4 linked regions of the Tamandua tetradactyla genome follow. The protein of the gene in region 4 interacts with the protein of the main gene of each other region in a biochemical or structural test. Links are inferred from orthologs where the notes say so. Each region holds a gene or a part of one and is shown on either strand. Other genes may lie near its edges.

Region 1 (7,374 bases), on a different chromosome or scaffold from region 4:
CTCCCTAATGAACCTGTGAAATAAACAGAAAACTGCAGTGCACTGTTTGTCAATAAGTAAGCTTTTTACTCAAGAAAATCCCATTTCAGTTATATGCATGTCTATATACACACACACATATATCACACACACATACTGGGAGACTAAGTACTCAATGGCAAAGGAAGATTTTTCAGTTTCTCCTGCCAGTCTCCCACTATAACCATTATCCTGATGCCCGCGGGCAATATTCACAATTTTCCTGAGGTCATTTTTTGCAATTTCTCTAGGGCACTCAGCAAATACCAGACATAACCTTTTACATTTAAATGAGATTAATAAAATAGAAAATATTGTGGGGGGAAATTGCTAAAACCTAATCCCCAATAACATCTGCCATAGCTTCTTCCAGGTTGATTTTTTCCCCTACACCTACCCCTCACTCCAAATTAAACCAGAAATGTTGCTTTTTAAAAAGTAAAAATTAAATAATTTTAATTTATTTCATAAACTGCTTTTTCCCTTAACTCATAAATTTGATATATTTTTATGAGAAAGATTTATCAGTCTACAAAATCACATGTATATTATAGTCACCACAAGCAGCAGCTGTTTTGGAGTTTATGTTAAGCAATTACTCTTTCCAAGTTTGCTTCTAATGAATTTGGACCTCTAATAAACAGAGGGAACTGGCAGAGTTCTAACTTAAAATGGGGTACAGAAATTCTCAACACCCAAAAAGAAAAGGAGATGTAAAGGCAAACTGCTCCACAGGAGTTTAGGGTTAGTCAGAGTGGCTCAGTTTAAACCAGGGGGAATGAATTTCCATAGTGGGAAAGGGTTCCACTCATACCAGTGAAATACACCATGCTATCGGCAGAAACTGCAAGGAAGATGGGAAACAGAGATGGAGATCAGGACTCTAGGGTGTTAAGTAGTTCAAAGGTGTGAAAAGTTTCTTAATCTAAAAGCCTCCAAACTTGGTTATTCTGAGCTAAATCTGCTCAGCAATAAAAATACCCAAGAAATGGGTCTGAAGAGAGTCTGAAGTAGCCACCAGTCAAATATGGATACAGTGTTAAATTGTTTGCAAATTGTTTCAAAACAAAGTTTCAAGGTTTTTTAGGATATTGTTCTAATTTGACAATTAAGGGTCACTTCTCTACTGCACACTATTTCACTGCATAGTATGAAACTTTTTTTTATTGGCAATTTTTAGAAGCTCTTTGAGGACCCAGATTTATATATATATATAAAAATATGCTAACAGGATATTTCTCCTCAACTTAATACAATCAACTTTCCTAATAAGCTGATACAACCCTGAAGATGAAAGAAGTCTCTTTCTTAGTCATTATAATACTTTAGCTACACAGACACCCCTGAAAATGAGATGAACAGTCATTCTCTCAACCCTATTGTACTTTAAATCTATGTCCACTTTCATAAATCATGTGTTGAATCCTCAGATTTTTTTTTCCCAGTAAATGATCTAAGAGCCTGATTTCATATTCTCTCTCTCCCCCACTCTCTTACACACACACACACCTGCACTCCCCAATAACAACACTTCCTTTGAAAAACAGAATGTCACTTCCTCAGTCCAGAGGCCAGAAGTCCCTTGATTCTGATCTGGGGAGCCAAGACAGGAAACTCTGGTAAGCTTCTGCCTCTCCCCCCATGGACAGCCACTGCTGCAGCTGACAGAAGGCAGGGTCTATTCAGAGCTCCCTTGATGCACTGCAGCTGGAAGACAAGCCCTCACTTCCAGACTATGGGAGCAATCCTAGAGCCCAGCACCAAAAATCAGTCGTAACAAGGGCATTTTGTAGGAAGTGAAGAGGGCGAAGATGGGAGACTTTGAGGCATTTTAGCGACCTTACTTCCATTTCCAAACTCCGGCCACAACTCCGGGGCTGATTTCTGCCAAAATTTGTAACGCACCGTTTTGTTCTTTGACCCACCAGGCATACATCCTCGGGTTAAAAAACAAAAAAACGTCCTATCTCCTCACAGCTCAGCACCAGGCTGTACCACATCCCCCTTGATATTGCCAGTTTCTCACGCAGAGGAGAGACGCTGTCCCAGCAATTTCAGTAAACACTGTGGGTTAGCACCACCTGGCAACTGAGAACCTTGATCTCTCCCGACCCCAGACACCAAGGTCTACACAATACAAAACCCAGGCTAGTTACAACGGACCAAACTGCAGTGTCACACTCGGGGGAGGGGTATGCATGTGAGAGACATACGGAGTAAAGGGAAAGAAGGGGAACAAACAAATGAGTCACTTAATACAAGGGCTGCACATGCCGCTGACGCTGCCCATGATGCAGAAGCTCTGGACTGGAAGGAAGCAGACGGCCACCCGGGAGGGGCGGGCAGAGAACGGGAAGAGGGAGAGGGTGTGAGGCGCGTCGCCCTTTGTGCGGGACAAGCCGCGCGGCCACACAGCTTACTCCCCCCTTTCCCACCCACTCCTCCGACCCTGCAGGGGGAGACCGCCCAGGGTTACTGTGCTTCCTAGCCCGGGGAATCAACTCTCTCGGTCTCCCCAAACAATCAATACAAACTTCAACGCTGTGTTTAGTTTACAAGGAGGCTGGCTGGGGAGGTGCCTCCGACGTGCCTGCCCAGCGCAGAGGGTGCCGCAGCCTCAACCAGCCGCCCCGCCCCTCGGCGGCGCACCTGTGACAGGTGTGCAGGTGCCCCACACACCCCGGCGCCGCGGGGCGCGGCGACCACTCCTCGACCCCCGCAGGCCCGGGGGAAGGTCCGCCGTCCCCATTGGCGCGGCCCCTACGGAAGCCCCCACCCCTCTGTAGGCCGCCGGGCGCCCCTAGCTCGCGCCCCCCGCGGCCGCTCCCGCTCGCCGCCTGCACTCACATAGCGCCTCAACTTCTTCTCGGGGGGCGATTTCCTCAGCCAGCCGGTGCACACCACGTCGCCGCCGCCGCTCATGCTGTCGGCGGACTGGAGCCCGCGCCGGGTCGGGCGGACAAGGGCGCCGGCCACTGGGTCAGTCGACCCGCGGTGCGCAGCTCGCGCGGGAGGGAGGGGCGGGGCCGCCAGGGGCCGCCGGGCGAGGACGAGGCGGCGCGGGCCCAGCCGTGAGTGCGCGCACCCGCTCGCCCCCGCCCCCGGCCCGGCCCCGCGCGCGCACTCGCTGCCGGCCGGGAGGGGGCGCCCGGCAGGAAGCGGCCAGCGCGCGCTCGCCACGCCCACAGCCCGCCGCGCGCTCCGCCTGCGGACAACGCCTCGCGGCTGCCGGAGGACCCGAGTCGGCGCTAACGTCCAAAGCTACCTTCGGCTGCGCTCCCGTCCTGGTTTTATTTATTATTGTTTTTCCTTTCCCCTCTGAAGTCTTTTCCAGAAAATCCGGAGGACTGGGGGAGACAGCCGCGCCCTGGAGGGGAGGTGTGAGGGGAGAGGAATCAGAGGGCTGTCGGTCGCGGATCAATTTTTCAAGGAGAGTTGACGGGGAAGGGACCCGAAGGCTGCTCACGTTTCCTGTCCATTCCCAGAGTTTCAGGTTTCAGCGGGTCAGGTTCTGGCTGAAATTAGTGATCCGCTTCGCAGCAAGAGTTTCATTAACTCTCACACTCCCTTGGCGGGAGGAAAAAAGGAAAACACACCTACGAAGTGCCGGATGATTGTCTTAACCTACAAATTGGTGGGCAGTAGTGTTCCTATTTTACAGATAGCCTAAGGTGTCAGCACTAGTACAATGCAAAGCAAGATTTCTAATTCCGAGGAGGTAGGGGTAGGTTTGTGCTTATCTGCTATTTAAAATGGGGGGACTGCTTTAAAGTCTATGAATCAACTTGGTCTTTGTCAGGAAACAAAGTCCAGCAAGCTCCCATACTGCCTCTGGGAAAGTGGCTCAGTAAAAGAACATCTGTATGACTTGAAAAGAACTGACGAAGCAAAAATTAGTCAGTGTATATCATGGCAAATTGGAAGACAGAAAAAAGAAAAATTGGGGCAAAATTCCTCAAGTTCCAACTCATTTATATAGGCTATGAGACCTCTTTGGGACTCATTTGTAAACTGGAATATAATGATACATCTCTCCATGAGCTGTGGTAAGGTTTAACTCAGATAAAGTATGTGAAAGTACACACTTGACAACACCAGCACTTCAGGGGTAGGGTGGAGAAAAACATGAAAATACTTTTGGTAGCTCTTTTTCATTCACAAAGTTCCTTAATAAGCAGCCTTAAGCGCCCCAAGTTGTCTTTCAAGTGGATAGTAACCCAATGGGTTACTGTACTGCCACACATGAACTGGAGAAGCAGCATCTCTTAAAAAAAACACCTTTCAGAAAGCACCTTTCTCTCCCAATCTTAGACTAAAGCTATTTTGTTCACTTCCCTGTCTCCAAGCAGCTAAGCTACTTATTTCAAGGAGCGTGACTTTCATCTTGGTTGAGTTAGACGTTCATCTACTGGGCGCTTAGCTTTTCCTGGCACCCTGGGAGATTTAGAGAGCTGCTCCCTTGACCCCAGTATTTCACTGACTTTCTTCACTGTCCAGTATGCTGTTGAATAGAGTTTAAAGCCAGCACTATAACAATAGCTGGAACCAGAGCTTCCTTAGCCTTTCAGTTCATAGATCCTTAAGCCACATGCAAAGGCCACCACCAGAATTACCTTAAAACTCTAGGAGAACTGAGAATAAAGGGTAACTAGGTCAGCAATTTTCATGTAACATTCTTTGAACCTATCTTAAAATACTATTTAAGTAAATGATCTAATTTCTACATAATTGTTTCACAGAAATGTCTTTTTTGTTTGTTTTTATAAGGTGTTTAAACAAGCTCAGCTAAATTCAGGATCCTGTAGCCACTTTGTGCATGAGGGAGCTTGAATTTAGTGGCTTTCAACATTATTTATGAAGAAAAAAAATAAAGTATCTCATATTGAACGTTATTGTACTGCATTTTTTAATGTAACAGTGCAGATCTTGTTAAACACATGAATCTGTATAATCATGTTAAATGCAAATAAACTGGTTCATGGGGAAAAAAAACCTATGACATAAATATCAAAACACTCAAAGTGCCAGATTGATCAGGAGGCGGTGACTCCCAACCAAAATAAAGTAATCTTACTGACTATTCACATCTGAGTCATGGTGCCAAGTCTCAGGGACTGCAAGGAGTCTGAGAAAACTTCAGGATTTGGCAGCAGCTGAGGTTTATGATGCAAGTCAGGCATCCATATGCCTTATCTTTCCCTAGAAGAGTCGTAAGTCTTCTATTACATACCTATTAATATTTATATGATTCATGACAGATGGGAGATTGCTCAGCAATGATTACTTGGGGGATAGGTCACATTCAGCCAAAACTCTTTAAGGTCTTAGAAGTCTTAGAAGACTTCAAGCTTTTATTTACAATTCCATATGAGAATTATGGCCAATGATGGGAGAGGCCTTAAAATACGAGTTACAGAGTATGGGCATATCAGGAAGTCTGCGAACACCACCCTCCTTCCCCAAAGGTTGGAGAAACACCACCCTCTCTTCCGTGCTCTTCTGTTCCCTCACTTCCCGAATTCTCTCTCTGCACCTTCCTCATCACTTGGCTGCCAGCGCCCAGTACAGGCTGCACTCAGAATGCTGGCTTCACCCTGTGTGTCTCAATCTTCGGAGCCCGGGATGCCTGTCAGGCCTGAAAACAGCTCTCGGACAAAACGTTCCTGTCTGGGCCTTTACTGAGTACTCCCCACCCGCTGCCTTTTTAAAAAATGTTCCCTGGTTTTCGCTAAGGAGAAAGGGAAAACAAATTACTTAAGTAATTTATTTACACGAAGACAGGCGCCACCTACCGGAACCAGTTGGGACGACATTTCCCCCACCCTCCCCGTCGCAACCGGTGCGGACATGCATCGCTAGTCTATAATTTAGGCAATTTCTATTAAAGACCATGGGGTAATTCCTGGGGGGTGGGGGTGGGGTGGATTAATGACCGGCTCCAAGGAGTGTTTTGGGTCATTAATTTCTTATTCTCATTACATTCCAAGGAAATTACAATCTTATGTGTGTGCATGGGGGTGGGGGGCAGGGAGGATCGTGGGGAGGGAGCAGTCACACCTGGGAGGGGAGCATGGGTACCAATTTTTGCCCTACCCCCCTCCACGCCCGGGTTCTAAAGGGTGCACTGTGGCTTTTAGTGTCGTCAGCGACAGCCTGCATCCGTGCCTGTCTGGGAGCTGAGAGTTTGTGGCCAGCGGCAGGTGCATGGCTGGTGGAACGCTCCCAGGAACGGGTTGGAAGGGCTGGAAGGAGAGCTGTCCTCAACTGCACACCAGGCTGGTGTGATTAATACCACCCACGCCAGGCCTGACGTCAGCGATTGGACTGGGGGTGGGGACGGTGTTTGTGTTGTAGCCCTTCTGTCTTTTCTCCCCTTCAGTTTAGTTGACAGGTTAATTTCAGAGCTGCACATTGCTTGCCAAGGTCAGTATGACCAGCTGAGTCACCTCAACAGAGGACTCCCAGGACACTGTTGTCTTTCAGGCATCTTGATATGTTTTGCCTCTTTAACCCCAAGTCACTTAGAGCCCAGTTGGTTCACTCCATCAAATTACCCTCTGATTTAAATCAACTCTTGGATCTGCTGGAACTGAGATCTGGAAGTGGGCTTGGGGTATGGTTGAAGACCTATTTGGATTTCCCTCTCTGTGGATGGCTGCTAACAATATGAGAGTTACACTACATCAGTGGGAGGCATTTTGGTAAAGTTTGTGCCATTTAGTTTCCCATTGTAGAGAATCAAAACCTATGCTAATTGCTTTGTGGCAGGTTTGCTCCTGGGACATTTCTGCTGCTACTGGTCAGCTTGGTAACATCGTGTTGCACTGAACCCACTGCAAAATCAGTTGTCCATGCTCTCCCAAGAGCAAAGACTGTTGAACGCTTTGCATGCTGGCCCCTTATTTTCTTCACAGAGAGAACTCCTATCTCAAATTATATCTTAAACCTGTCAATACTCCCTTTCCTAAAACTCACCCTGCTCATTCCCCAGCACAGTTGTTCATTTTCTTTGTATTCATACTGCACCTAGTAAAAATAAATATGATTATCACACTGTACTGCAAATATTTGTTTACTTGTCAAGGAACTGTGAGTTCCTGGAGGGTAAATCTCTCATATTTTTCCAAGGATATTTTAGGTTGGTGTCAGGCACACAATAGATACTCATTAAAGTTTTGTGTATGTGTGAGAATGAATGAACCAAAATGCTTGAAGGATGACAAGTCCAAGACATCCTTCAAGGGGCTGGGAACCTCTGAAACATCCAGTTCTCTCAGGTGCACCCATAGCAGAGAATTGTATCTGTGAGGATACTTACTATATGACTGGAGTGTTTAAATCTACAGGGACTGGCCT
Region 2 (7,782 bases), on a different chromosome or scaffold from region 4:
CTAAGAAACTGAGGAACAATGGAGCAGAATGCTTTCTTTGATATGAAAATGAATATGAAGCATCTCTAATAAGCTTTTAATGTGCTCATCATAGCAAAAACTTTGCCTTTTTGCTGTTCTGCTGCTTTTCTCATGCCAAAGGGATATGACTATCCTTATAATCACAGGGAGAGGAAGAATGGAGGGAAGGTTGTTGGAGGTTTGCATACTTTCTGTTCCAGCACTTCATGTCCATTACAAAAGCAGCAGCATTTCAACCCCATGGAATACTCAGTTATCTGAATTCACTGTTCTTTTTTTTTTTTTAGATCAGCTACCCATTATTGCCAGATGAATGCAAATCTTCCATGAGTTTCACTCATTCATCCATGCAACCCATGTTTATTGTATATCTCATCCTAAACCAGAACTGGAATAAAAGCAACTTCCACATATCGAAGACTGTAAGAATTATTTCACAGGTAGTTTAATCTCATTTATTCCATATAATTATGCCTGGTAGCTACTCTTATTGTCTGAAAAAACACTTCTGTGTCAGAATCACACAGCTAGAAAAATGTTGGGGACCTATGGCATGGATTCAATTCAGCTGGGCTCTGAAGCTAAGTTGTCACTCATGAATGGAATCCTCACTAAAAAGTTATCTTCTGTGGAAAACCTGATCAGAAGTATAAGCTTTTTAGAGAAATATTTGGAGTGGGAGTGGGGAAGGAATGGATAGTGCAATCCTCTGCATCCTCTGAGTCACAGACTTTGATAAATAAAAAACTTACATCCCTTAGAAAGAACCACAGAACACACTGTTGTGTAAGGTTTTGCTGCTGTGGTCCAGAAGGAATGACCTAGGGTAGGCTACTGAGAGATTGCCAAGAAGGCAGACTCACCATCATCACCATCAACTTCATCAAAAGCCACCCTTAGATTACTGCCTTAAGGGTGTCTCTCAGGGACTAATGACAGAGAGGCCAATGGCAGGACCTTGTCTCAACTACCATTGATAAAGAATGTGCTATGAGTGTTTTACAGTGTGGATGACCTACTCTGAGCTGGGTCACCCTCTTTCCTGCCTATTTTTCCTGCCAACCAATCTGTAACCGCAGAGTAGAGATTTCTCTATGCAAAGCAAACTGACACTCCATCTCCCAGACCTTCAGCTCTGGCAATTGTACTGGTTAACTAGGTTAAATAATACAGGTAAATATCTACCAAGAACCATGTAAAAATGTTTCGCAGGCACCCAAAGTAAATTTACTTTGTAAATTTATTTTGTATAAAGGCTTAGAGTGAGGATTTGGAGGAGGTAGCAAGCTCCAGATCCTAAACTAAATGAAAGATGCAGAGTTAAATGAAATAAGAAAGTTGTTTGACTTTGTTTCTGCTTCAGGTTTATGACCTATGTGCTTTATACCTCCCTTACCTGTCATAAGCAATGAAACAAAACAAATATCTCCAAGTGTCTAAGAAATATATCCCACTAAGAAATACCCTGACCTTTATATTCAAAATCTAGCTTCTCTAAATCTGCCTGTTTCCAAAACCCAAATCCTTTATTGTTCCCAATGTCTTTGAAAATACAGCAACTCTTAGGATTTTATATCCATGCATTTTAAGGCCCAATGGATGGTCTTCGTATAATATTATCAATTGGGGTGAACGTTTGGTTTAAAGAAGTACAAAAGAATGTTCTAGAGTGGAAATTGGGCTTCGAATTTTCAGAAGTTCCCAACCAACTTCATTTCTTTTAGTTCTCTATTCAGTTCAAATACCTTCACCTCTTAAACACAACTTCACTCTCAATACTAATATATGTATCTGTGTACATCAATGCATATATACATTCAAAACAGGAGAAGTTTCCAGCAACCTTTTGCTTAGAGCTATTCTGTAAGTCTATTCAATCTGGCCCATAAAGCTATTAGAAATCTAGGACCTTTGAAGAGAAATTAGTGCCACAATTCTAAGTCCTATAATGCCCAGGCCTTTATCCAGCGTTAAGTATTTTTAAAAAAATCATGTCAGCTTCTATGGGCACGTCTGACAGAACAAAATCTGGTGACCTTACTGACAAAACGTGAAACCTAAAACTTAACAAATACTTCCTGAAACGTGGGACATTCCTCTAATCAAAATGAAAGTATTTTGTCCCAGCTTTTTTGACTATCACATCGTTCGCGATGGAGCCACTAATGCACGCACCACCCTGCTACAAAACAAAAACTAGCCTATCTTTTCCACAGAAGAGAAAACTGAGGCAGCAGGACTCAAAATAACTTGTCTGAAACCATAGGGTCATTGAAACAGAGGGTAGCTCATCCTGGTATTGCTAGATTGTGTAGCTCTTCAGAAAACTTTACTGCCTCCAGGAAACAAATAGTGGCTTGTTCAGATTGCTGCATTCAAATTCGTGTGAGTTATAGCACCAAAGATGAAGAAAACAGGGAGTATGTTCACGCTAGTCAGTGATCAGATCGAGAACTGGTAAGATTCCGACACACTAACAATAGAGAACCTTACAGTGAGAGGAGTCCAATAAACATACTTTATCTGGGGCAGCCAGGCAGCCTATCAGCGCAGAACTGAAGAGAGGACTCGCCTTGCCCTCTGACTCAGCTGAATATTATTCCAAAAGTGAATTTCCACTGTACCAAGTTTAGATTTAACGTTTTAACACCGTAGTCAGACTTGCCTACAGGGACGTTTTGCTTTGCAAAGGCTTTGAAAAATATCCCTGGAGCATTTAGAGAAAAATGAACGCCTTTTAACGTGAGAGGTAAGCTCTAAAGTTACACTGTGCTTGTAAACAGTAGCATATATATAGCAAAAACCAAAAAAAAAAAAAATTAAACTGAGAAGAAAGAGGAGTACCTACTTGAAGAGAAGGCTGTCTTCTCGTGTTACTGAATGGACAGGAGGAAGGAGTGTTAATCTTTGGAGCCGTTAGGGAGCTTCTGAGCCTGGAGCCTGCATTTTCAGTTTTGGAGAAATCCGTTCTGAGGCAGTAGACAGGGGGCCGTTATGATCATGAAATTAGGAAATGCAGCAACTCAAAAATAAAGAACTAGCACCACCATTTGACTAGGACTGGAAAATCTCCTTGAAAAAAAATAGAGGAGGGGGTGGCCTTGGTTTCAGCCAGCTAGGCCTGATGAACTTTCGCAGCACTTCCTTTAAGATCGATATTTAACAAAAGATAAGTGATGTGTTCATCTGCTTGTAAAATTTTTATGCAATCTGGTCGATTGAAATTTTTATGCAATCCAGTCGGTTTTCTCTTTACTTATAATAAGGTTTGAAGTCTAAACAGGAGTGTCTAGTTGGAAAATATATATACAGCATTCATTCAGCACATAAATGCTTAATCCAAAATTAGTTACAGCTAAAAGTGGAAATGAGGACACATATTCTGTGAGCATTTCTTTAACTTTCTTGCTTAGCCGTGGATACCTCAACATGCTCTGCCTTCCTGGTCGTTGATTAATTAGGTTTTTTACTGCACTAACCTGTACAGGTTTAGCTTTTCCGTGCCTCTGAAGCCCTTCCCTCTGTCAGATGATCTTACCCTAAACTTTTCAGGCATTTCCTACAGCAATTTAAGTGTTGATTGATTGTTTTTTTGCTTGTTTGGTTTTTTCTTTTTTACACTGAGACATTGTCTGAAGTAGAAAATGGGCTAAAAAAAAAAAAAGAATAGTGAGGTGCGATGGTGGTTCAGTGGCAGAGTTCTCACCTGCCATGCTAGAGACCTGGGTTCCATTCCCGGTGCCTGCCTGTGCAGGAAAAAAAAAGTGGAAAATCTGCTTCTGATTTATATAGCGTATATTTTTAAGGTTTTTGTTTTGTTTAGTTTTGCTTTTTAGATATTAGCTTTTCTAATCAATTAGACTTGGTCTTCCGAACATGAGAATGGTAGGACGAGAAGGTGAAGGAAGAAAATCTTTTGCCATCTGTTGGGTGAGGTGTGTCTCAAAACTGGCTTAGTCTTTCTCTGGAAGCCAACTCAGCAAAGTATATTCACTGCCCTCCTTTCTATATGGGACATGACTCCCAGGGGTGTAAATTTTCCTGGAAATGTGGGACAGGACTCCTGAGATGAACTGGGACTTAGCATCATGGGATTGAGAAAGCCTTCTTGACCAAAAAGGGGAAGAGAGAAATGAGATAAAATAAAGTTTCAGTGGCTGAAAGACTTCAAATAGAGTCAACAGGTCTTTCTGGAGGTTATTTTTATGCATTATATAGTTAGCCTTTTTTAGTTTTTAGTGGATTAGAAAAGGTAAAATAAACACCTCAAACTGTTGAGCTGTATTCCAGTAGCCTTGATTCTTGAAGATGATTGTATAACTATAAAGTTGTTACAGTATGACCGGGTGATTGTGAAAACCTTGCGATGACACTCCATTCATGGACAGATGAGCAAAAAATTAAAGGACCAAAAATATATAAAAATAGGAGGAGATAAGAGGTATGGGATGTTTGGGGTGTTTTGTTTTGTTTTGTTTTCATTTTTATTCTTATATGTATTTTTTTGAGTAATGCAAATGTTCAAAATTGATTTTTTTGATGAATGCAGTACTATATGATGATATTGTGAACCACTGATTATACACGTTGATTATATGGTATGTGAATATCACTCAAAAAAATTGCATTTTTAAAAGAAACTGGCTTGGTTACAAAAGAAAAACAAAACTCTCATAATCAACACCTAAGAACATTTTTAGGGCCTTTTTTTAAAATTTTTAACTTTTTTTTATTGTATAGTATAACACATATACAAAGCAAAGAAAGAAAAAAGTAATAGTTTTCAAAGCCCTCTTCAACAAATAGTTACAGGACAGATCCCAGAGTTTGTTATGGGCTACAATACGATCCTCTCCTATTTTTCCTTCTAGCTGCTCCAGAGTATAGGAGGCCAGAGGGCTTAAATTTTTTTATCATCACAATCGACATTTTTCCTTCCTTTTTTTGTGAAAAATAACATATATACAAAAAAGCTATAAATTTCAAAGCACAGCACCACAATTAGTTGTAAAACATATTTCAGACTTTGACATGAATTACAATTTCACAATTTCAGGTTTCTACTTCTAGCTGCTCTAAAATACTGGAGACTGAAAGAGATATCAATTTAATGACTCAGCATTCATATTCATTTATTAAATCCTATCTTCTCTGAATAATTCCACCATCACCTTTGATCTTTCCATTTCTCTCTTTAGGGGTGTTTGGGCTATGGCAATTCTAAATTTTTGATGTTGGAAGGGTCTGTCACTAATATGGGATAGGGAGATGTTCTGATGTTCTGGAGAAGCTGGGCTAGGTGTCAGGACTTATCTGGACCAGAGAACCATCTGGAGGTTGTAGGTTTCTGGAAAGTTACTCCAGTGCCTGGAATGCTTGTGGAATCTTACATATTGCCCTAGGTGTTCTTTAGGATTAGCTGGAATGGGCCTGGTTGACGGTTGGCAAGTTATGATAGGTAGCAATGTCTACCTGAAGCTTGCATAAGAGCAACCTCCAGAGAAGCCTCTTGACTCTATTTGAACTCTTCCTGCCACTGATACTTTATTAATTACACTTCTTTTCTCCCTTTTGGTCAGGATGGAATTGTTGATTCCAGGGTGGCAGGTCTGGATTCATATGACCCTGGGGGTCATCTCCCATGTCGCCAGGGAGACTTTCAACCCTGGATGTCATGTCCCATGTAGGGGAAAAGGCAATGATTTCACTTGCGGAGTTGGGCTTAGAGTGACTAAGGCCACATCTGAGCAAGAAAAGAGGTCCTCCAGAAGTAATTCTTAGGCCTGCCTATAGGTAGTCTAAGTTTCTATTCTATCTGCATATACTTCACAAGAGTAAGCCTCATGATCGAGGGCATGGCCTATTGATTTGGGTGTCCTTAAAGTTTGACACAGTATCAGGAAATTCCCTAATGGTAAGGTTTAATAGTTCCATATTCTTTCTCCCATCCCTCAAATGACTTTGCCAATACTTTCTGATTATCTGTTTAACATACTCTAACACCTAAGAACATTTAAAAAGAAATGATCTTAAGGACCTTTAAGCAATCCTCTCTAAACTTATGAGTTAGCCCACACAATAATTTGAATATGCAAATTTACCTGAGATTAATGTCCCCCAGCATGCTTACAGCAAGAAAGATTTTAGCTAACATAAGAAGTTTTAATTTTAATTTAACAAACATAAACTTTCCACAAGATGTGCTAACAAAAGGAATAGTCATGTATACTAATGCACTATTGGGGGGTATTTGCTTTTATTATTTTATTATGATTTCTGGTAGAAAGTAAGTTATTTAATAAACATTTGGATAGTTTAAACTTTTCAAAAACAAAATGCTTTTATGTACATGAATTAAATCTCTCAACTATTTTATTTTTCAGAGTGGATGAATTCTGTTTTCCAAATGGCATTTAGCAACCTGCAAAAATCGATTATAGACATGAATACAGAGAAGAAAATCATGGGGCAACACTTGCCATAACAGGACATCCATTGGGTTCTGAACTAAAGGTTATAGATCGTTTTCCTTTTATAGGAAAATTTAAATGTACAATATAAAATTTTAATTAGATTAATTGCTCTCAAGAGACTACTGTCATTTATTTGCATTTTAATATGGGCTTTCTCAAGTGGGAAAAAATTAAAAATTATAATAATTAAAGTAAAAATGATAATATTTTCTACTGAGTATGAGGTATCAGGTGCTAAGTATGTTCACAGCAACCCAGTGGGGTAGTGTATTAGTAAGGGTTCTCCAGAAAAACAGACCTGTAAATATAAGATTTACAAAAGTATGTCATGCAACCGTGGAAATGGAAGAGCCTCAAATCAATAAGGCAGGCTGTGAGGCTGGCAACTCTGAGGAATGGTCTAGATGAACTCCACAGGAGAGGCTTGCTGGCTGAAGAAGCAGTGAAAAATTCTCTCTTCTTCCTTAAAAGTCTTCAAAGATTGGATCAAAACCAACTGATTGAGTTATCTCATTTGCTGGAGACACACTCTTAGTTGATCACAGATGTAATCAACCACAGATGCAATCAACTGACTGATGATTTAATACACCAGCCTTCCAGTTTATCAACCAGCCATGAAATATCCTTGCAGCAATAGTTAGGCCAGCACTTACCTGACCAGACCACCGACCACCATCACCTGGCCAAGTTGACACTAGAACCTAGCCATCACAGGTAGGGACTATCAAAGCCTATTTTATAGAAGAGAAAATGGTGGAAATCAAGATTTAGTATCCCTAGCAAGACTTCATAGTGGGAGCCAAGATTCAAACTCAGGTGGTCCAACTCAAGAACCTGTACTTTGAACACATTCCTGCAGAATCAGAGAGAGCCAGCTCACAAGAATTACACACAGGACACACTATGGGAACACACAAGCTATGGGTGTGTCCTGCGATGAAAAGTTGAGAGGTTTATCAGTAAATAGGAAAGAGCAATCTCATCAGATTGCTGTAAGAAGGTGATTAGGAACGATTTTTAAATTTTCCCATCTAATGAAATCACTAAAAATAAAAACATGTACTTAGATTAACACTGTTCTACAATATTCTGTGCTTTCTTAGAGAAAAAAATTGCCTCTGGGTTAAAATTTTTAGTTAAATTATATTCACCACTATTAGACAAACTGAATTATTGTGAAAGCATAAATAATAAGAAAAGAGCACTTCAAATGAGGCAGTATAATACAATGTAATTGAAATAAACAGGGAAAACACAATCTGATAAATATAATTCAAAGAAAAGC
Region 3 (7,427 bases), on a different chromosome or scaffold from region 4:
GTTGACTAGCCCACTGAGCTTTCCCTTCTAGACCAGTCTGTTCACCAGCACATCTTTCTTTGGGGTCACTTGTTTAACACTGTTGATTTTTAAGATTTTTTTGGATATATTCCATATCCTCACCATGCGTCTGTTCAGCCTTATTTTCCTGGCACCCATCTAGTTTTCATCCCGTCACTTACAGGCCTACTCAGTGCTAACTGCGTAGACCACGATTTGAGAATCAACATAACTAATTGTTATGTTTGAATGCTAACAATTGCTGCTCTGAGCCGCTCCTGGTAGGCTTGCCACATCGCTGCCAGTTGTCATGTGTTACAACCAGAGGGAAATTCTGCTTGCGGACAGCACGTGCAGCCGGGCTGCCCTGCCCGCCCGCCTTTCCCCACTGAGGCAAAGCCCACCCCTGGCACCACAGTCCTTCACCTCCAGCCCCTACAGGCTCTGCCTCTCTGGGGGTCCCTGACTGATGCCGACCTCAGCAGTGTTTCCCAGGTGCTTTTTTGCTCCATTAAACAGCGGCTGGGGCCGCTGGCACCAGGCCTGAGTTAAGCTCCCTTAAGTACTGCTTCCTGGCTGTTAATTAAAAATTATACGGAGAGTAAGGGGAATACTTTCTTTTGTTCTTTATTGACAAGGAAGGACACTAAGGAGAGGATGAGGGACTCAGACAGGGGACAGGGCCTTTCGGGTCCAGTCATCTGGAAGGAGACGCTTTTATCGGGCAGGGCCACTCATTAACGGTGGCATTTAAATGAGAAAGAGAAACAGAGGGGACGGGGGTGGGGTGGGGGGTAGGTCCTCCCCCACGGCAGAGGCGGCAGCGGGGTGGCTGGACACAACTCCCCCCGCCCTGGAATTCTGCTCTGCTTCTAACTGATCCTGTGTCTTGTAGGTAAGGTAATCACCATCTCTGTGCCTCAGTATCCCCCTGTGTAAAAACAAGAGGATCTTAAAAGGGTAACTGTCACAACAAGTGAGGATGTCACAGCGCAGCCAGGACTATTGAATAAAGTGATGCAGAGGGCGCAGGGCCCTGCCAGTGCCATGCGGACACAGATCGGGCAGAGGGGCGGCGGCAAAACCTGAAACGTGCTAAACTTTTAAAGAATTCGGAGACTCGCTAAAGAGCAAACAAAATGACCTTCAGTTAACATTTAAAATGTCAGAAATAGGAAAAGCCCCAGAAAGGTTGATCTCAATTCTTTTTCAGCTTTTACTGAATTCCTTTGATTGCGCAGATAGTGAGCGCCAACATTTGACCAGGAAGCAGAAGCCCAGGTTCAAAATCATGACAGAGCAAGTAAATACCAACTTGTAAGACAAGGAACTTATCTTTGATTTTCTTATCTTAGGGCAGACAGAAATGTAGTACTTTAGAAAGATTTTCCAAATAGATTTGAACCAAATTGTATTTCTTTTAAACAAGTTAATAAAAATAGCCATTTCAGAACAGTTAATTCCTTGGGAATTAACCATTATTGAACAATAAATTTTAACTTGATTTTTTATAGATAAAAGACTATTTTTATCTTACTTAACCCCCCTGCAGTTCCTCCTTGGCTGGTGGGAGCTCGCCTGCCAGGCTGGGTGGGGTGCTGTGGCAGCCCAGCTCCTCCCAGGCCCTCCACAAGGGTCCCTCTGCTCCTTGGGGACTGTCCTGTCCCTACCCAGTGTCACCCGGCTTTCCCCCTCCACAAACTCAAAGATAAACGGAGCACATGCTGCTTCTCCCACGGTGGCCCTTGGAAAACGGAGAGCAGGCCCCAGGAGTTCCAGAGTCTAAGTGAGACCCTTCCCGGCCCCAAAGAAACACGTTTCCACTCCCACTCGGCCTCCGGGGCAGAGGGCTGGAGCAGGCCGAGTCAGAGAAGCCCAGAGGGCCTGGTGCCACCCGTGTCCCAGAGAGACAACTTCAGGCGCCCGTGAGCACCGGCATAGGCAGCAGAGGGGCGGCCCTGTCCGGGAGGTGAGGGCAGCGACGCAGGGTCGGGCGGGAGGTGGGCGGCAGGTGGGCGGCAGGAGGCAGGGGGCGGGCGGGGGCCCTGGGCGGGGCGCATGGGCCGCCCGTAGGTTGCAGGTGGCGGGGCGGGACGCAGGGGCTGAGACCGGCGGGCGGAGGCGGAAGCGCAGGGCCAAGTCGCTGGTCGCCGCGCTCGCTGCTCGCAGGGAGACCGTGCTCGGCTCTCGGGAGGGCGCGGGGCCCGGCCAGGTGAGCCATTCCAAAGCGCCAAAGGCAGGCGGCCCTCCTGCCTGCCCCACGCAGCCCGGTGGCCGCGGGCTGAGCGCGGCCTGGAGACCGTTGTCACCTCCCCCCGCCCCAAACCGAGACTCCTCCCCGCGCGCCGCCGCCGCCCGCTCCCCGCTTAGGCCTCGCGGGGTCCCCGCCACCCCAAGACGGCGGACGTGGTCCGGACGCCACCGCGGACTCTGTCAGGGCTTCGGCCCCTTCTGCGGCGTCTACACCCGTGCCCTAGTTCCTCGCAGGGAAGACTCGGATGGGGGTGGGTGGTGAGGGGTGGGAGGGGGCGGGCTCGGGAGGCCGTGGGGCTGCCAACTGCTCCCGTCCCGCCCGCGCGGCCCGGCCACCTGCGCCGCTGCCCGACTGTGCCCCGAGCCCCCTGACCGCGGGGCAGCCGCCCTCGGCTGACACGGGCCAACCCTGCCCACACGCCCCAGAGGAGCTAGGCTCGGGGTTCCCTCACGCTGGTCCCCGAGGTCACCCGGTTCCCCGCACCTCGCGCTCCGAGAAGGGCTCGGGAGACAAAAGGGCCCCCGGCCACCCCGCCCGACCCCGGCGAGGGTCACTCACCCGCGCTGCGCTCGCGGCTCCGAGGCCGAGGGGCCGCGCGGGGGCTGGCGGCTGCCTCCTCCAGGTCCGCGGGCCCCCAGGCGGGCTGGTCTGGGAGTCGCCGCCGCCTCAGCCGCCTGCTTTAGTTGGGAGACGCGGGCCGCCAGGGCCGTAGGCTCGTCCTCGCTGGCGCGCGGCGGGGTGACTGACAGCGCTCTCCGCGGGCCCGGCGCGCACCCGGTCGCCCCGCCCCGCCCCCGCGCCGCTTCCTGGCGGCAGGTAAAGGCCGCCGCCCCCCGGGCCGCCCCTCTTCCCGCCCCAGGCGCGCGGGCCAAAGTGACCCTGTGAGCACACAAGGGTCAGCCCTGGGAGGGGTGGGAGGGCAGCTTTGCCGGTGGACCCCAGCCTTGGAGCCTACCCTCCGAATCGAGCCCCGGCCCCTACCTCCCCGAGGAGGAGTCTCAGAGAGCGTCTCCCCCTCTCCCGGCTCGGCCACCGTGGGGACAAGCACGCCCCCACCGTCCGGATCCGCAGCTCGCACCTGGGGTGCCCGCCGGGAACCTGCTGGGCAGAGCCCGGCCCTGTCCGGACCTGGCGCTCCAGGCCGTTCTCCCACTGACCCTCTGGGAACACCCACTGCTCTGGGGGTGCTGTCGGTATCAAACCCGGGCCTTGCAGTTGCCCCTCTAGAGGCAGGTTGTTCCTGGGTTGAACCTTCACCCACCGGCAGTTCTGCTGGAGAACCAGAGTTTTCCCAAAGGGGGCAAAGAACATACACCGGGGGACCCACCTTCTTCTGGAGCAGAAAGGGCTGGCTGACCCCGAAGTCCCCATGCTTCCTTTTGGTAGGTGGTGTCTGTCCTGCCCTGGTTAAAAGGAAGCCTGCCGTTTGAACGTGAGCCAACTGGACTCAGAGATCTGGAGGGAAACCCTGGTGGGCTCTGTGAGCCTTCCCCTGGACACCTCCCCTGAATTCTTGGTCTCTTGCCGCAGGTGGGTGGGAAAGACAGGAGATGGGGGAGGCCGGGCACTAGGGGAGGCGCTTACCCGGCTCCCGCTTCCCTTCCCTGGCCAGGGAAATGCACCTGGCGCTGTCAGGAGGCCCTCTCAGTTGTGGCCCCAGCAATCTCTTTCGGGGTCTCAGGAACACCCTGCCCAAGCCTGACCCCCCCCCACACACAGGGTCCCCGCAGGTCTGCCACGTCCAAATGCTGACTGCATCAGAATTAGCGAGTGTGTGTGACCTCTCCAGAGTGATAGAAAGCATCGCACGTGATCCTTTCCCGAGAGGAGCTGAAGGTGCTCAGGCTGGAGGCGGGAGGTGAGGAGGACACCAGCTTTTGGGCCTCTGCTACCAGCTCTTCAGTACCTGGTAAGTGGGGTGGGCCTGAGGGACACGGGCCGGGGGTGCCAGGGCCAGTGACATAACCCAACTCCAGTCACTCCCCCCAAACTTCTTAGGCCTGGGGATGGGAACACTGGGCTGTAGCTGGGACGTCTGCTTGGACATTGCAGACAGTTTCTCCCTCCCCCCGAAATGTGTCTCTGGTCGTCTCACAGTGACTCAGAAGAAAGCAACAGAGACTCGTGCCCTGCGAGCCCAGGGAGCTGGGCTTTGGCCCGTGGTGCCAGCTGTAGTCAAGTGGCAACCGGTGTCCTTCCTCTTTATGCCACTTCTGCTAATTTTTCAGTGGTTTAAAGAAATAGGACACCAGCCAGCAGTCACCTCTGTGAGTTTCAGGCCTTCCAACCCTGCCAGTTAAAACTCTTTTCAGAATGTTTATAAACTGCACCATCGCCCTTTGCCGGCCCACACGGATCCTACGAAGAGAGCGTTGAAGGCTCTGTGTGGGCATGAGGAGGTTGGGTTTAGAAGCTTCTCCTCGCCTTGGAAAAGGACCTGGGTCCAGGGCGCCCAGAGAGGCCCCAGGGAGAGTCGAGCTTTATATACAATGACAGCGCGTTTTTTAGCAAAATGACTGAGGTTCATTTGACAAAATGTGATCTTTTCCTCATGCTGAATAAAATTGGAAGGACTCTTGTTGGGAGAAGTAAAGGGTAAATTATCTGAGTCTCGCGTTGCAGACATTTCTAGGGAAACAGTGTAGTCCCTCCCCAGGTCACATAACCAGGGGCCGCGACCTGACCACATCCACGCGCGGAGTCCGGGCTGAAGCGGCAGGTCAAGCAACCTGAGGAGCTTCTAGCGACTTCAGAGCACATGTGCTTTGAGCTCTCCTTATTCTCCTCCATCTGGGAAAGGACTGGGCTCACTTCCACCCCCGGCTTGTGTGTGACAGTGCGCTGGTGACAACGCATTGGACAGGGTCACGGCGATTGCTTCTCCAGAGGGTCCAGGTAACAACTAGAAAGTCCCGACACGGTCACTGAATTCAGGAAGACAAGGTGAGTGACCCCTAGGTGAGGAGACAGGGATGTGAAGCCGTGGTCGGGGCTCAGTGCGCTCGACTGAGCACGTGTGCGCCCAGAAACCCGCTCGCTCCTCGCTGACACGGGAACTCCGGGGTGGGGGGAGGAAAGGAAAGGGGGTTTGTAGGGCCTGTGACGTGGGAAGGAGATTGTTGAAATGATATTTTTATAAACTGTTTTACAAAGTGTATATGTGCGTGTGTGTACCCCTATATGTATAATATTTTTCTTTAACCATAGTCCCATAACTTCATTAATGAAAATAAAAGCCAGCAGCTCTCTGTAGTGATCAGGATCACTCTTTTAATGAACTACAGGGGTATATATTATATATTGTGTATTTGAAAAGAAACTGTACATATGCTCACTAGTAAACACACTGTGGTAGTTAGTTATCCCCGTCAGTTAACTGTGGTTAACTCTGCTATTTGAATTGCTTTTATTTTATTATTATTGTTATTTTTTTTTTGCAAGGGCAGTCACCGGGAATCGAACCCGGGCCTCCGAAATGGCAGGTACCACCACCGTACCACCTTGAATTGCTTTTAAATAATTTTTTTTAATTAAAGATGCTATGGATTTACTGAACACTCATGCATAAATACAGGATTCCCATACACCACCACATTATTAACACCTTGAATTGGATTAGGACATTTGTCACAATTGATGGCAGCACATTTTTATAACTATAATATTAGCTACAGCCCACAATTTAACTTAGGGGCCACCATTTGTGCTGTGCAGTTCCATGGATTCTTAAAAATTGTTTATTCTGCTGCCTTCTGTACAACCTAACATTTTCCCTTTCAACCATCTCAGATATATATTTCTTTTAGAGTTTCTTTATTTTCCAGTTTGCTCCCTGATTATGTATGGGCTGCTTTCCAGTAAACCTCTTACATTCTTTGGGCTGCTTTGCCGCTCCTTTAAGAAGAGGAGTTGGTTTGGCAGTTTGCATTTTCCAAAAGGCCACATCGTCTCCAGGTCCCCAGCTCTTCTTACCTTGTGGGATGTGCTGGGCCTGCTCTCGGGTGCTGCCCCCAGCCTGGGTGAAGCTTGTGGCTGCCCCTGACCCCTGGCCTTCACCTTTTGGACTGATTGCTTTTGGCTCCCCCCCCCACCATCCCTCGAGGAAGACCCCGCAGCCCCGAAGACCCACAGACCCGCAGCCATGCATTCGTTGACAGCCCAGTGGGGACACTCGCTCCCAGCCTGCCCAGCTGCCCAATATGGGTGACAAGACTGCGGAGGGGATGGTGGAGACAGGAGCCTTGAGGGCAAAATTCTGTCCCCACCCCCTGTTCCCTCTACTTCTTATAAAGATGAATTCTGCCTCCAGAAAAGAGATTGTTTTATTTAACTGACAGTTTTACTTACCAAACACTTTACTTTCATTCACTCGTTCATTTATTCCACAGATATTTTTAAGCCCTTAAATGAGACGTGTCCTTCAAGGAACTAAAACCTCTGGTGTGGACAAAACAAGGGGGCAGTGAGCATGACAGGGTGTCAAGAGGGTGAGCTCTGGAGGCCCGGGGACACAGATGGAAGTGGTGAGGCCAGAAGCCTAGGGAAGCTGACCTGCAAGTGGGGGTTTAGATGGATGAATAGGAGTTCTCCAGATGAGAAAGGGTCAGGGCTGGGCTAACTGGCCCAAGGGGCAGCATGTGTGAAGGCAGCCAAGGAGAGCTGCAGGTGCTTGGGAGAGGAGGCAGGGGCCAGAGGTGCAGTCCCCACAGTGCCCACGATGAGAATAGAGGAGTCAGAAGGAAGTTGCTGTGTGCCTGCCTGCCCTATACCGCTCATTACTGCATCTCCCCGGCCAGCGAGGCAGTAAGCCTTTTCCTGTCTCCATCTCATGGGGCAGGAGCAGAAGTCCCAGGGTCACAGCACATGCCAAGATGGTGCAGTGAGTGCGTGGCCAGCAGGCGGCGGTGGGCACCCCATGGGAGAAGCTGGAGCCCCCCTGCCCCAGGCAGTGGGCAGCGGCATTGAGTGGGCGCTGGGGAGGCAGAGAAGGCCAGCTCTGGGCCAAGTGCTAACTCCAGTGACGCCATCGGGGAAAGACAATGAGATGCTCCGGAGGAAGTGAGCAGAAGGGGCCGCACCTGCGGCAGGAGGGGGACACCCCGATTAAAAGTCCCAGGCCAAGGGCTCTCATGACCAGAGGAAGCCATGGAGCAAGCTGCATGGCATCCCGGGA
Region 4 (6,940 bases):
CACAATGAACTACTATTTGGTCATAAAAAGGAATGAAGTTCTGAGACACGCCACAACATGGATGAACCTTGAAAAGATTATGCTGAGTGAAAGCAAAGCACATGAATGAGGGCAACTACCTTATGATTTCACTTACACAAAATATCCAGAAATAGCAAAACTTATAGACAGTGGATTACGAAATGGGGGGGGGAGGGAGAGTTGTTGCTTGGTGGATAATTTTTAAGTTTTGAAAACTTAAGAAAACAAACACATGAAAAATCTTCAACTACCATTTACACGAATTTCTGTTTTCAGCGCCAACTTCCCTCTTATAAATTCCAAGATACCATCTGGATACAGCCTGAATGGCCCATGGGCACTATAAACTTCATCGGTCCACACCAGAACCCCCTATTTCTTCCAGTTAAATTTGCTCTGCCTCCCATATTCCTTCCCTCAGATAATGGAACCACCATCCTTCCAAGTTCACAAGCTAGAAGCCCTGAAATTAACAACTGCCCACACAATCCATCACCAAGCCCTAGCTCTATCTATCTCAGAAACCCCTCTCAAATCCAGAACCTACCTCTCTTACCCCTTATGGTGGCCTCATCATTTTTTTGTTCCTACCCCTACATGCCACCATTAATTCTTTCTGCCACTCCTATGATGAGAGCCCTAGTTATTGATCCTATCTCTGCAGGCCTCACACTTCCATCTGCCCTTTGGCAAGCTAACTAACCTCTGCTCAATGCCTTCCACTGCTACCGTATTACTATGCCTCTAGGTTACAATAGCCCAACTAATTCCCTCCATTCCAGTTCCTTCTTCTTTCACTTCTTAAGGGCGTTTATCTATCTTAAAAATAAAAATTGATGAAATGACAGCCTCCTACAAAATGGCGATGACCCCCCCCCATTACGCAAACACACAGTGAAACTCAGCTTTGCCTTAAGAGTTCTCTACAATTAGCCTCCTTAGTACTTTTCCAGGACTAGATTCTACAGCTCAAGCTGTCACTTGCTCCTTTTATCTCCCTATCAAAGTCATACACATTCTTAAAGGCCCAACTCAAACCCCATTCTGTAGAAGATTAAGTTCTTATTAGAATACAATATCAACCTAAGACAAAAAGGCCTCTGGATCCAATTCATTTCTGCTTGGATTTTACTTAGTAAGGAAAAAATCACAGGAAGAAAACTTTAAGTATTTCACCAGGAAACTCAGAAAATCAAAGAAGTCTACAGCAGTGATAGAAATGGTTAATAAATAGAGATCATCTTCTCTAAGTAAAAAATCTCATCAGATAAAAAACAAAAAAAATTTCAATAGAAATGTCTTAGGATTTTTTCAGTTCTCATTTTAGAAAACTTAATTTTCAAAAGAAGGACCAAAGAACAGGAAGGACAATTCTGAGATTCACCTAAAGAGAAACGCTCATTGACATACTTACCAGCAGATGCAGTGGCACCAACAGAAGTGATGCTGCAGTCAATGCTTTCTGTCCATTATTTTCTTAGGGTCCTATCTCTTTTAGGTCTGATCTATTTTCTCTTTTAGCTCCTAAACCTGTGAATGCATGTTAATTTTCACAGTTGTATACTGTGGAGCATTTTGCCCCTACAGAGAAAGACAGTATTCAAGATTCATTAAAATTTTTTAAAAAATAATTTTACCTGGTTGGTTCATCTAGCGAAGTTAGTATAAACGCGCCCTCTTTTTTAAAAATTATGTCCATTCAAATGTGAATGCGTTGCTGGGACACGCTAACATTCTTAAATCATTAAGAACCCCTTATTTAAGGAAAGCAGCATGTAACAGAAAGAGCTGCAGCACTTAAAATCAGACCTTGATCTGAATCTGAGGTCCAAGCACTTTCTCACCTGCAGGAGGTATATATACCACCACCCTTCCTCGCCCCAATGTAGAAGAAGTTGGTTGTTCAAACCAAATGAGATCATGCAGACTTAGCACAGTACCTGCTAAGAATTCTTCAATGTTACTTTGCTTCCTTCATTCCAGAGAAAACATACTCACAGAAGATGTAGGTGTAAGGAAATCTACACTTCCACAAATCCTCACCAGCCCCTTCGTCCTCATACATACACACACACACACACACACACACACACACCGTCAGCCTCTCCTTCCACACATTTCTGAGGAACATGAGTCGGGATAAGGGAGCATGTTGTGATGGTGCAAGAACTCCACCAAGGCTGCCCGCACTGAGCGCTAAAACATGAACAAAGTCTACAGTAATTGTCAAGACGTCCAGAGGCATTTTTGTGCTGCTAAAAGAGAGTCTTTAGGGTAAAGGGGGGGGGGGGGAGTCAAATTAGGACCCACTCCAAACGGATCTTTTAATAAATCAATGGGAGCCCCGCTGGATGATCCTTCCTGAAAATGCAAACAGCGCGACGTTACATCCGAAAACTCCAACATGGAAAGACTCCCCCAGCGACCCGGGGGTCCCTCGTGCTTTTCGGAAAGCCTGCGCGGGGTAGCACCGCCCGCCCCACCGACGAAGCCGAACGAGAGCCGTTCCGGGGGAAACCGAGGCGGGGAGGCCGGCGTAGGAAACGGGACTATTTCGGTGCTCTGCACACCAGAGAGGCCGCCGCCGCCGCCGCGCCTCTAAAGGGATTCCCGCTTTTCCAAATGGATTTCCAAATGAAGACCCCGAGGTCAGCCAACACGGGGAGGGGGGCTGCCGTTCCGTCCGCGGACCCCCGCCCCCTGCCGCGACGCGCGCTGCCCGGCCCGGGAGGAGCCCCGCGGGCAAGCCCCAACCCCCAGCGCAGCCCCACCCCCACGCCGGGGTCGGGGTCGGGGTCGCGGCGGCGCGGGAGATCGAGGCGCCCCCCAGGCCCGGCGGGCGTGCGGGTGGGGTCGACACTCACCACACCATGCCGTAGGCCCCCTCGCCGATGTACGAGAGGTTGGTGTAGCGCGGCCCCACGTCGAACACCTGCCCGCGGACCATCTCGGGGCCCGCGCCCGCTGCCGCCGCCGCCGCCATGTTGGCTGCCGGGCCGCCGCCGCCGCGCAGGGCTCGAGGCGCTCCGCGGCCGCCGCTCGGCTCCCGGGGAAGGGTGGGAAACGCGCCGCCGCCGGGCCACCGCCGTGGGCCGCGGAGGAGGACGAGGAGGAGGAGGAGGAAAGACGCCGCTGAGGGTTGCTGACTGCAGCTCGGCCCCACCGCCTCTGTGCCTCCCTCCCTGACTGACGGGCGGGCCGGCGGGCGGAGGGAGGGGCGCGCGCCTAGCAGGACGCCAGGGCGGGGCGGGGTGGCGTGCGCGCCCATTGGCTGGCCGCGGCTCGGGGGCGGGGCGTGCGCGGGCCGGCGGAAGCGGCGCGCTCGGGGCGGGGCACTGCGGCGGCCGCTGGGGCGCTGCCCGGGGGGCGCGGTCACGGGCGCCGGGAGGCGGCCCCCGGGAAGCCGAGGGCGCGCAGCGGGCCTCGGAGCGGGAGGGTGACCGTGGGCTGCGCGCGGACAAGGACGGCGACGGACGGGCGCGACCGAGGGACACTTCTCCGTACTGAGGGGCTGACACCAAAACCGGGGGTTCCGAGACGGTGCGCTAAGCAGACAGGCCCTTCAGCAAATAGGGGTTCAGCACCTGCCATCTTCCCGGGGGTCGGCTCTGAGAAGAAAATAAATAAATTTATATATATATATGTGTATGCATGGATATATATACACACCTCTAATATATATGTACCTATATAGAGAGATATATAGGTACATATCTTTCTCTAATATGTACATGCCTACATATACACTCATATATATATATATATACACACCCATATATTATCTGTATATATATCTTTAGATTTATAGATTTATATGTATATGTATATATGCTAATATATACCTATCTATAGATACATACCTATACATTCTCTCTATATAGATATATGCCTATACCTATATATATGCTAATATATACCTATATATAGATATATATACACACTTATATATTCTCTAACTATAGGGTGTGCAAGGGTAGCTCAGTGGTAGAATTCTCACTGCCATGGAGGAGACCCAGGTTCGATTCTTGATCTATGCACTTCCCAAAAAACAAACAAAAATTCAACAAATGGTGCTACAATAATGGATACTCACATGGAAAAATAATGAAATGTGACCCCCCACTATACAACATACAAAAGAAAAAAGATATATAGCTATAGATAAATCTATACCTATACTTATACTCGAATATATACCCTATATTCTACCTATATATAAATATTATATATATAGTATATGTATTCCTAGAGATTACATTTTAGAGGAAGCATATATGATGGTGATTAAATATACTATATATATATATAAAGTAATATATATCTTCTCTATATCTGTAGATTCATATATATATTCACCTGTAATCTCTTGTATAAACCTTCCTAGAGATTATATTCTAGAGGGAGGAAGCATATAGATAAATATACACAATACTCATATTAAGGTAAGTACTATGATAAAATATAAAGCAGAATAAGGGGTTAGAGAGTAGTGGTTTAAGACACTAGAGAAAGACGCAAGACTCAGAATGGTACAGCTGGACAGAGACTTGGACATAAACAATGAAATAGAAAGGTCAAGAGGGACATACTAAAAGCAACGCTTCAAGACTTAAAGAAAATGAGACAGCTCCACGGAGGTTCAAAAATAGTTATAAACACTAGAGGTTGAAAAGTAAAAACTGGACTCCTGTGGCAGGTGGGTGCCAGGAAAAGCTAAGCCAGTGAGACCGGGCGGTGCCCCTGTACCTCTTCCCAGACCATCTCTGGAAGGGTGTAAGGGCTGCATCCGGATTGCCCAGCCATGTGGTCTTTAAAGCCACCAGCTGCATATCAGACATCAACAAAGATCAACTAGACTAGTCAACTTTAAAAACTAATAAGCAATTTTTTTAACCCTGCGGAACTAACTGTGTGGCACACAAGAAAAGCAATGAAGTGCCAGAGCCAAAAATTACTCCTTTGAAATGCATTCAGTCCATCATGCAGACCCAGTTTTAGAAAACACTTAATTCTTATTCTTGATTGAAAGAAGGCATTGCCAAGGTCAGGAGGGCCTGGCCTGCAAAACACCTGGAGGTGGCCAACCCCCCAGATCAGCCACCAGGCACAGCCCTGAAGAGATGGGAGGATTCGAAGAAAAAAACCTGAAAAAGGAAGGGGCAGTAAGTAAATGAACTAAGGAAGGAAGGGAAGTAAGTCAACTAAGCAATAAAGCAGCTTGCCTCACATCTCACCCCTCTTTTCTTGCATGTCCCTCTTGCATATGTACTCCAACTTTCTACCTGCCTACTCCAGGGTGAAGAGAGACATTATATATCTTAAAGAACAAGCCAAGGTAAAAGGGAGGGTACCATAAAATTAAAACCACAATAGCTCTTTAGTTATTGATTAAAAGCAGTGGTCAAAGCAGCAAAAAGCAGACTTAACAATGCAGAAAAGCACATCAAAGGAAAACTTGAGAAAATCTTTAAGAACACAGAATGGAGTATTGGGGAATTCTTTAAAAGAGAAGATAATGGAGCTGGAGAACAGCATGGAGATGGAAACTAGAGGTGTCCCCCAAAAGAGGACAGCTAATCAATTAGAAGGTAGGATCAACAATATAATTGAAAAAAAAAAACTTGAGTCTGAAAAGATCTGAGGTGCAGGGTGGAAAATTAAGTGGGTTCACTGAGATCCAGAAAAATTAACAAACAGGCTCCAAGATACAAGCTGGAAGCATTCTTAAATCCCAGGGGGGAAAGAGCAAACACTAACAGTATCCCATCAGCGGAAAATAAAAAGTTATTTATTAAAAAGCTAAAAAATGTTGGGTGTATTTTTTCCCCCAGCTTCTTCCTCTGCAGTAAATAATGAATGCCAAAGGAAAACAGAACAAGATTGATAGATGGTAACTTTAGCTGCTGTGCAGATTTGAAAGGATTTATGTACATTAGAAAAGTCATGTTTTAATCCTGATTCAATCTGGTGTTCTAATTAAAGCAAATCTATAGCAATGTCCGATCTAAGGTATTCAGTGAAAGTTACCTTGATTCAAGAAGGCCAATGAAGTTCAGGGTTTCTCTCTCAAGTGGAAGGGCACAGGGAGAACATGGAAGTATCTGCTGGCTTTCTCTCCAGCCCTCTTGTTTCATGAAGCTCCCCAGGAGGCGTTTTCCTTCTTCATCTCCAAAGGTCGCTGGCTGCTGCTTCTTGTGGCTATGTCATTCTTTCATCATTCTCCAGCTTTTTCTAAAGTGCTTCCTCTTTTATAGGAATCCAGTAAACTAATTAAGATCCAGGTAGAATGGGTAGAGACACGTATCCGTCTAATCAAGCTTAATACCCACACTTGATTGAGTCACATCTCTGTGGCAATAATGTAATTACAATTTCAAACATACAGTACTAAATAGGGATTAGAAGAAAAGGCTGCCTTTACACTAAAATAGGATTAGGACTAAAACATGATTTTTCTAAGATACATAAATCCTTTCAAACCAGCACACCACCCAACCTGTTTCTCCCCCTGGGTCTGTGGTTTCCATTCCCCTCCACCCAAACAATCAAGTTGGAAATTTAGGCATGACTTTTTATAATTCGTTCTACTTTTCCCCCATCCCACACCCATGCAGTATTCTTGCCTCTCCAATCCCAGCCATCCAACTGATCACAAATTCCTGTAAATTCTATTTCTTTCATATTTCTTAAGCCTTGCTACTTGTTCTAGTTTGCTAGCTGCCAGAATGCAATATACCAGAAACATAATGGCTTTTAAAAAGGGGGGTTTAATGAGTTGCTAGTTTACAGTTCTAAGGCCAAGAAAATGTCCCAAATAAAACAAGTCTATAGAAATGTCCAATCTAGGGCATCCAGGGACAGATTCCTTGGTTCAAGAAGGCCGATGAAGTTAAGGGTTTCTTTCTCAAGTGAGAAGGCA

What was found.
Region 1: of the proteins of MAPK1 (region 4) and GAB2, one has a biochemical effect on the other in vitro, tested with the Homo sapiens proteins (2 studies listed by BioGRID). The link is inferred for Tamandua tetradactyla from reciprocal best matches to the Homo sapiens genes MAPK1 and GAB2.
Region 2: of the proteins of MAPK1 (region 4) and ESR1, one has a biochemical effect on the other in vitro, tested with the Homo sapiens proteins (3 studies listed by BioGRID, with this or other methods). The link is inferred for Tamandua tetradactyla from reciprocal best matches to the Homo sapiens genes MAPK1 and ESR1.
Region 3: of the proteins of MAPK1 (region 4) and MBP, one has a biochemical effect on the other in vitro, tested with the Homo sapiens proteins (16 studies listed by BioGRID and IntAct). The link is inferred for Tamandua tetradactyla from reciprocal best matches to the Homo sapiens genes MAPK1 and MBP.

The regions. Positions count from the first base shown.
Region 1 is NC_135334.1:66,269,176-66,276,549, reverse strand, and holds the start of GAB2 (GRB2-associated-binding protein 2), read right to left. Parts: upstream 3,014-7,374; 5' UTR 2,941-3,013; coding exon 2,866-2,940; intron 1-2,865. UniProt on the Homo sapiens protein: Adapter protein which acts downstream of several membrane receptors including cytokine, antigen, hormone, cell matrix and growth factor receptors to regulate multiple signaling pathways.
Region 2 is NC_135328.1:143,353,395-143,361,176, reverse strand, and holds the start of ESR1 (estrogen receptor), read right to left. Parts: upstream 3,016-7,782; 5' UTR 2,870-3,015; intron 1-2,869.
Region 3 is NC_135344.1:5,464,870-5,472,296, reverse strand, and holds the start of MBP (myelin basic protein), read right to left. Parts: upstream 3,001-7,427; 5' UTR 2,813-3,000; intron 2,213-2,812; exon of another isoform or gene 2,113-2,212; intron 1,462-2,112; exon of another isoform or gene 896-1,461; intron 1-895. UniProt on the Homo sapiens protein: The classic group of MBP isoforms (isoform 4-isoform 14) are with PLP the most abundant protein components of the myelin membrane in the CNS. They have a role in both its formation and stabilization.
Region 4 is NC_135331.1:26,071,247-26,078,186, reverse strand, and holds the start of MAPK1 (mitogen-activated protein kinase 1), read right to left. Parts: upstream 3,011-6,940; 5' UTR 3,005-3,010; coding exon 2,886-3,004; intron 1-2,885. UniProt on the Homo sapiens protein: Serine/threonine kinase which acts as an essential component of the MAP kinase signal transduction pathway. MAPK1/ERK2 and MAPK3/ERK1 are the 2 MAPKs which play an important role in the MAPK/ERK cascade.